Stegostoma tigrinum: one gene and its partner. Each later gene encodes a partner of the first gene's protein in a complex. Links are inferred from orthologs where the notes say so. Each region holds a gene or a part of one and is shown on either strand. Other genes may lie near its edges.

The links.
Region 2: the proteins of scap (region 1) and insig2 are in contact, whole or in part, in a cryo-EM structure (PDB 7ETW), measured with the Homo sapiens proteins. The link is inferred for Stegostoma tigrinum from reciprocal best matches to the Homo sapiens genes SCAP and INSIG2. Residues at the interface, in NP_036367.2 of Homo sapiens: Pro200, Ser206, Val282, Ala283, Glu284, Ile286, Pro287, Thr290, Ile294, Ala297, Tyr298, Phe301, Lys305, Tyr351, Val354, Val355, Glu359, Thr409, Leu410, Val411, Ser638, Tyr639; in NP_001308258.1 of Homo sapiens: Phe41, Val45, Leu48, Leu49, Ile51, Val55, Leu57, Phe58, Pro59, Val62, Ser65, Ile66, Glu104, Trp105, Ser106, Met109, Arg110, Val112, Ala113, Val114, Val116, Gly117, His120, Gln132.

Annotation. Positions count from the first base shown.
Region 1 is NC_081358.1:98,290,760-98,294,678, forward strand, and holds the start of scap (sterol regulatory element-binding protein cleavage-activating protein), read left to right. Parts: upstream 1-1,606; 5' UTR 1,607-1,699; intron 1,700-1,711; exon of another isoform or gene 1,712-1,937; intron 1,938-2,104; exon of another isoform or gene 2,105-2,325; intron 2,326-3,919. UniProt on the Homo sapiens protein: Escort protein required for cholesterol as well as lipid homeostasis.
Region 2 is NC_081360.1:68,366,671-68,370,589, forward strand, and holds the start of insig2 (insulin-induced gene 2 protein), read right to left. Parts: upstream 2,966-3,919; 5' UTR 2,853-2,965; intron 2,631-2,852; 5' UTR 2,446-2,630; intron 2,422-2,445; exon of another isoform or gene 1,941-2,421; intron 1-1,940. UniProt on the Homo sapiens protein: Oxysterol-binding protein that mediates feedback control of cholesterol synthesis by controlling both endoplasmic reticulum to Golgi transport of SCAP and degradation of HMGCR.

The DNA of each region.
Region 1 (3,919 bases):
ACGACGTGTCCATCCTGGGCCTCCTGCATTGCCACAACGACGCCACCCGAAAGCTGCACGAACAGCATCTCAGATATAATGGGAACTGCAGATGCTGGAGAATTCGACATAACAAAGTGTGGAGAGATAATGGGAACTGCAGATGCTGGAGATTCCAAGATAATAAAATGTGAGGCTGGATGAACACAGCAGGCCAAGCAGCATCTCAGGAGCACAAAAGCTGACGTTTCGGGCCTAGACCCTTCATCAGAGAGCTCTCTGATGAAGGGTCTAGGCCCGAAACGTCAGCTTTTGTGCTCCTGAGATGCTGCTTGGCCTGCTGTGTTCATCCAGCCTCACATTTTATTATCATATAACAAAGTGTGGAGCTGGATGAACACAGCAGGCCAAGCAGCATCTTAGGAGCACAAAAGCTGATGTTTTGTTTGCTTGGGAACCCTGCAACCCAAGGATATCAATGTAGACTTCACAAGCTTCAAAATCTCTCCTCCCCTGACCGCATCCCAAAACCAGCCCAGCTAGTCCCCGCCTCCCCAACCATTCCTCCCACCTCAAACCCCACCCCCCTCTCCTACCCACGAACCTCATGCCCCCTCCTTGACCTGTCCGTCCTCCCTGGACCGACCTGTCCCCTCTCTAACTCCCCACCTACATCAATCTTCACTGGCTCCATCCCCACCTCTTTGACCTTTCTATCTCCTCTCCACTTCTATCTGCCTTCCCCCCCTATTTATTTCAGAATCCCCTTCCCCGCCCCCATTTCTGAAGAAACGTCAGCTTTCCTGCTCCTCTGATGCGGCTTGGCCTGCTGTGTTCCTCCAGCTCTACACCGTATTGTCTCAGACTCTCCAGCATTGGCAGTTCATACTATCTCTGGCAATAATGAATTTAGCTCTTTGGATTTCCCTTCAGCAACTTTGCTGATATTCTTTTCTTCAAAGCTCATTCCATTTGACAATAATTTTGGTCATCAAATGGATATCTCAAACCAATTCAAAGACGATAGTTTTGAAGCGCTGCCACTCTTGTAAGAAATGTGGCAGTTTTTTTATACACAAACCTCCCACAAACATTAGTGTATACGCCAACGGGAAATCTGTTGTATATGTTGGTTGGGAAAGAAACATTGCTGAGGAGTGCTGGCAGGGGGACAGCTGTATGGCCGATTTCAGTTCACATATCAGCCTAAATGTTGGTAACACTGACCGTGTAAGATTTCCTGAGTGCCATGTAGATTGTACTCTGTAGGAGCTGTTGAAGACTTAATAAGCTGAACGGCCTCCATGTGCTGTACTTTTCCATGAATTACAGTGCTTTGTATCAAGTGCAAGTTGCTTTAGTTTTTATGTGGGTGATGCTGTCATTTTTTTCTCCTATCTTTTTTAATTGATGAGTCTGTCTTACGTTGCTCAGCGTTCTTTACAAACTATCGACTAAGTGAACAACACGTGCAAAAAGGCAAAATAAGGAACAAGTCTAACACTAGCTTCATGCTTCTTATTCCGCACATCAGGCGAGGCATGGGGATGTGGGTGGGGCTAACCCCGAAGCCTGCGGGAGATGGGCGAAGTTAGCCCGGGGCGTGCTATCTGCGAACGATGGGAGGGGTTGACCTGTGGGGCAGCGGATTGGAGACCGGAAGGACTGTAGACGCTGAAAGCCACAGCCAATAGATGTGGAGCTGGAAAAAGCACAGCGGGTAAGTCAGCATCAGAGCAACAGGAAAGTCCATGTTTCGGGCTGAAACCCTTCACAGAACTGGGAATGAGGTAAGAAGGGGGAGGGATCCTGGTGTAAATAGAGGGAGGTGGAGCTGGAGAAGAGATTACATGATGAAGGGTCTAGGCCCGAAACGTCAGCTTTTGTGCTCCTGAGATGCTGCTTGGCCTGCTGTGTTCATCCAGCCTCACATTTTATCATCTTGGAGCTGGAGAAGGGTAGGTTGGATGGTGGCGCAATAGTGTTAACCCGGAGCGCGCGGACGGTGGGCGGGGTTGAAGTGGAAAGCGTGTGGTGCGAAATGAGAGGGGCAGACGGGGGCGGAGTTAATAGGGGGAGCGTGCGGCTACGCTGGGTGGAGTTTGTGTCGGGGCCGGGGCCGCGCAGTTTGGGGGCGCCGTGCTTACCTGGGAGCGTGCGTGTGTAAGGGCGACGTTAATCCGGGCGCGCGCCAACGGTGGGTGGTTAACCCAAGTGAGCGGGAGCGCGCATCATGGATTTGCGTGTTACTGAGGAGACGCTGTGGAGTGGCATCTGAGCTGAAACACAGGGACTTCACGGCAGTTAATTATAACCATCGAGGGAGAGAAATTAAGCCACCAGCAGGTGAGAAGGTTTGGTAAATGTCACTGAATTCCTCAGCTTGAACAGAGAGGACGGCTGAGTTGAACTCTTTGAATAATTTAGTTTTCCATGAGATCAGCTAGGCCCAAACCTCGTCCTGTATTTTTACACTGGAGTGGCTCATGTACCTCGCTGCTTCACATCATGTTTTATTATTATGAGGGTTGTTTTTAATCGCTTTCTCGTAACTAAAAAGAGCATCATTCCATTCTGAGCTGACGCTTGCCAGTAAATTATTGTAGTGCCAATTAGCAATTACTTTTTCCATTGTAAATTTTGAATGTAATATCCTCCATGGAAATCCGGTTATTTTGTTTAAACGTATTTACAACAAGGCTTAAAATATTAGTTTTTCAAAACTTATTTATTTACTTTTGAAATCATGTCTTGATTTTTTTAACTCCTAAAAATAGGATCTACATTAATCTCACTTCACTAATTACTCTACTGTGAAATGATTGCATTTTGAATGGAAGGCTTGAAATTTCATTTTTAATTTGATGAAAATTAATCTTAAGTGATGCTTTGGCTATTCTGTCAAACACACCTTTCTTCCCATGAGATGGTTAGTCGTTATTCAAAATGATGTTAAGCATTTGAAAGATATAAATGTTCCCTATGCAGTTGCAGTCATAAGCACACCTTTTCATTATCCTTAACAATTTCTAACTTTCTTCCTTCCCGCACCCTGTATTGACAAATTTCTTTTGTGCCTTGCTTTAATGGAATGTTGGGTGTTTCTTCGCTGCCCCCACCATATATTTGTTTTAACACAAATATAGTTCTGATGGTATTGTTTGATTTATGAGTAGCCAATTTCTTTGTGCCCCATTGCGATTGCAAATTGGTGACTGTTATTTTTCTTTGCCTCCCTTTTTTTGTGTTTGGTAGGATGATCAGGTTTCTGCACAGATTAGGTGGTAAAAATGTGACCAGCATTTTGTTTTATGTGTGAAGGTTCCTCCAAATGTTGCAAGTTTTAAAATGCTACATTTTTGCCAAATGAAGATGCTAGTCTGTTGTCAAACAATTGAAACTACAGCTGAGAAACAAATACTTCATTGATACTTTGACTTCTTATTGCTTTTATTCTTTCAAATTCTAATTCAAAATACATGTATTTGATACATAATCGTGAACTTTTCCTTTGCTCTATGAGAATGACATATTAAAGTCCCACAAAAATCAATTACTGTCCTCATCATGAGCCATTTAGATTTATGTAAACTGATGGTCCACTGTCCTGTACAGCAATAAGTATTGATGCTTTTGATTGTTTTGTACTAACACCCATCACCAGGACCATGTTTATCATCTTGTTACTTTATCCAACATTTATAAATGCAGCCAATATCTCATTATTAAATAGTAGTTTTGTTGTCAAGACAATGAGACCCTCCTTCTACTCCCCTTCCTCAGCCTTCCTTTCCCCTCCTGAGTGTGTTATTGCCTCCTGAATTGATGTTATTTTACTGAGAGCACCAGTTTTAATCTCTTGGCAAAGTCTCAACTGTAACAATGGTAAACTATTCCTGCTTGTCCTGGTTCCACCCTTTTACTCAGTTAAGAATGCCAT
Region 2 (3,919 bases), on another chromosome or scaffold:
TGATATTGTTCCTGTTAAGGTTTTTATTGCTCAAACATCTTCCAAAATATCGATTCCATGTGGTCAAGCAATCCCTTAAATGAGCAAATGGATTGCAAAGAATCAAGTAATGATCAAAATAACTTAAAGGCAAAGGCTAAATACCTGAAAGGCTTGATAACAATCACCGTCTTATCAAATATTCAATTTATCCCAATTTCATATCCACAAACAACATGAAAACTTCACCTTTTTCTATGCCAAGTGGATCTTCTTGAGGAGTAAATGTAACATAACACAAGAAACCAGAAGGGAATAAAGTGGCAATGACCAGGCACATATTCCTGATTTAAAGAATTTCATATTTCCTAAAAAAAACCTACTTCATCTTTAGAAAATTGAGATTGATCGTGAAACTGGAACTTAATAGCTGAATTATTTTTCCACTACTGTTGGTAGATTTGGTTAATGTTACCACCAATACATGAAAATGAAGTTTTGAAGCTGCTACACTAATGCAATATCAATACATTCACATTTAATCTGCTCTGTACTTGGGAAAAGATCTCTAGTTTCTCCACTGGCTGATAATTTTGTCAACCCATGTATTTTATACCAAGTCTTTTCTGCAAAGATGCCTTATTTCAACAGCGATGTAAAATGAACATCCAATTCACTTTGCCAGGTTAACCTAAAAGATCTAACTGCATTATTCCACAAACAAGTTCTACCAGCCTGAAACAAATGATTTATAAATTATGAAATGTTTATTTATTGTTTCAAATTATGGCCTTAATAAACTTTGCGCAGAAAACACTGACTACTAACTTGCCAAGTAAAATTTTAGGTTTGTATGCCATCAGTTCTAAAATAATGAAATCATATATGAACATTCTCATTACGTATATAAGACATTGTTGCAGTTGAAAAATACTTTTAAACTGTTGAATTTATTTCTCAATGTCATCTTTTAGAAGTAGGTTCATTCTTTCCTTAACTATACTCCACTTAGATGAGTGCTGATTTCTTCCCGAATCTTTGACGAAATGTACAAAAAGACAGTAAATACAGTATAGCAGTTAGAAGTACTAATTCTAAATATTAATTTCACCTCACACCCCAAAAAAGCAGCAATTGGGCAGTTTTATATCGAAGCAGTTGTTCATGTTTTGCAGATGTACAATGTTAACATTTCAAGTTGATGGCTCGTCATCAAAACTCAGAATGAGGAGCCTGATAAAAAGGTCATTGACTTGAAGTGCAGGGCAAAATCTGAACTGTGGTAAGTTATTCTCACTTTCATGCTCCTGCTTTTTGCTAGTTCCCACATGATTACAATTCAAACAAAGTGCCAGTGGTGTGCATAGGGAACCTGCAAGATCATGCAATGGGGGAATCTTTACAGTTGTCAAAGCCCTCATCTGCTGGTAATTTAAAAGATACAAATGAGCTATAAAAGAGCTTCCTGGACAGCAAGGTCCTCCATCATGACCACAACTTGATTTATCAAGAGCAGAAAGGTGGCTTTCTCCTAATTCACTCATCCCAGAAAACATGTTTCACATTTTTACACACTCCACAAAATTCATTACACCCCATTAACATTGTTGCTCTCTCCACAGATGCTGCCTGGCATGCTCATGATTTCCAGCATTTTGTTTTTAACTCAGTCATTTTAGATTTATTGACATTTCTAAGCTGCATGCATTTAACTAAGTCTAGACCCCTGACTTTGCAAATCTGATATTTAATAATTATTTTATTGCTTGAAATAATACAGTATATTTAATGAGGATAGTTTACACTCCTCTGAATTTAATTACATTCTGAATAACTAGGGCACCAAAGTAGGCCACACAACTAGCCACATAACTTTATATCACCACAGCAAATGGCTGCATAGACATGTTTTCTTTTAAATCCTTTAGGTTAATAACACAATCAATCATTTACAGTCTTACCAGCATCCCAAAACAGCTCGCACAAAATGAATTAATTTTACAGTCTTTATCTTGTAGCTAAGAAATTAGAAATAGTTTTCCTTATTCTTTGGTATTGGTAGAAAGGAAATATTTGTCAGGGTCCAAAGAAAATTATTCAGTCCTCTTCAGATATCACCAAGGGGGTCTTTCATATCAAACTGAATAAAGCAGGGGCCATTCGACATGTCAAGGATACATCCCCTTCAGTAAACTCCAGCACCGTATTGAAGGGGTGCTGCCTTAAGTTTGAATCCCATTATGATGAAGGCTTGCTTCACGATAGTAAAGGGGAAGCCTCGTCACCTAACCTCTCCATGAAATCATCAACTGCAAAATCAATATTTGCTTTCACGACCTCATTCTTCCGGTATGCGGTGTCAAGCCTGGTTTCGAGAGAGTCTCAGTAATCACGGACGCAACGTGTAGTATATTTCCTCGTATCACTGTGGATTCATGAAACAATACAAACTCGAATAGCAATTACCTCGATGGCTGAGTGCTGCGGAACGTTTGTGTGCACAGGATACAATGACTCCAGAGTCATTCAGTAGGTCCTCTACCTGGATCACCTCACTGTTATAGGCACATCGGAGAGTTCACTTCACTCCTCATTGGCGCACTCGCGGCTTTTAATTAATACTGAACATCAATCGACCAGAAAGGAGCTCCCTACATTACAAACAAAAAAAAACTGGCTTAGCCCAAGCCTTTGCCCCCTCATACGCCGTGGCCCAGAGTACCTCACCCTACCTCATAAACCAGATCCAATATCTGCTGCCCTAGGCCGACATGCCACCTGCTACCTTCCTAAATTGCTTCAGAACACACTCTTACCCAGATTCCGTTCAGGTCGACCGCCCACTCCCGCGCCCCACCACCGTGAATACAAACCGCTGGATACTCCGATGCTATCGGATAGGCCCAAGCCTCTCCCCCTTTCCACCGCCGCTTCGGATCAGCCGAACCACGGCCACGCGCGCACACGAACAAAACAAATGCTCGCTCCTCTGTTATGACGCATTAGGGCCGTCTGCGTGCGTGCGCGCGCCCCACAACCTATGGTGGTCACGTGCTGGTGCAGACCCATTCAGACTACGATGAGAGATATTGGGAACTGCCGATGATGGAGAATCCGATATAACAAAGTCTGAAGCTGGCTGAACACAGCAGGCCAAGCAGCATCTCAGGAGCACAAAAGCTGACGTTTCGGGCCTAGACCCTTCTAGGCCCGAAACGTCAGCTTTTGTGCTCCTGAGAAGCTGCTTGGCCTGCTGTGTTCATCCAGCTCCACGCTTTGTTATCTCGGATTCTCCAGCATTTACAGTTCCCATTATCTCTGATACAATTACTGAGGACACCTGATCGGCATAGTCCACAGCAGCCCAGAACTCCTCCCCTCAAGCAATTCGATAGCCTCATATACACCTGTAATCCGGCAATTCAGAGGCTGAAGCCTTGAGTCACTGGACCTGAAACGTTAACTCTGATTTTCTCTTCACAGACGCTGCCAGACCTGCTGAGCGTTTCCAGCAACTTTTGTTCGGACTCCATGATGTCTGGATTAAGGTACTGTTTTAAGTCTAGTTCATTGTTCTTTTACAGTTGAGGTGTGAATTGGATTTTCTAACTGAACAATGGTTCTACGCAGTTTGATCGGCATTGTCCGCAGCAGCCCAGAACTCAAGCAATCTGATAGTCTCAGCCTGCGAATTGCCGGATTACAGGTGCACGTGAAACTATTGGATTGCTTGAGACCAGGAGTTCTGAGCTGCTGTGGACAATACCGATCAGATGTCCTCACTACATTGGGCATTGATTAATCGGTCCAGGCAGCGTCCCTCTGAATGTTTTGAAGAAGGGTCACTGGACACGAAACATTAACTCTGTTTTCTCCTTCATAGATGCTACCAGATCAGCTAAGCTTTTCCAGCAACTTTGTTTTTGTTAATGTCCCTGTG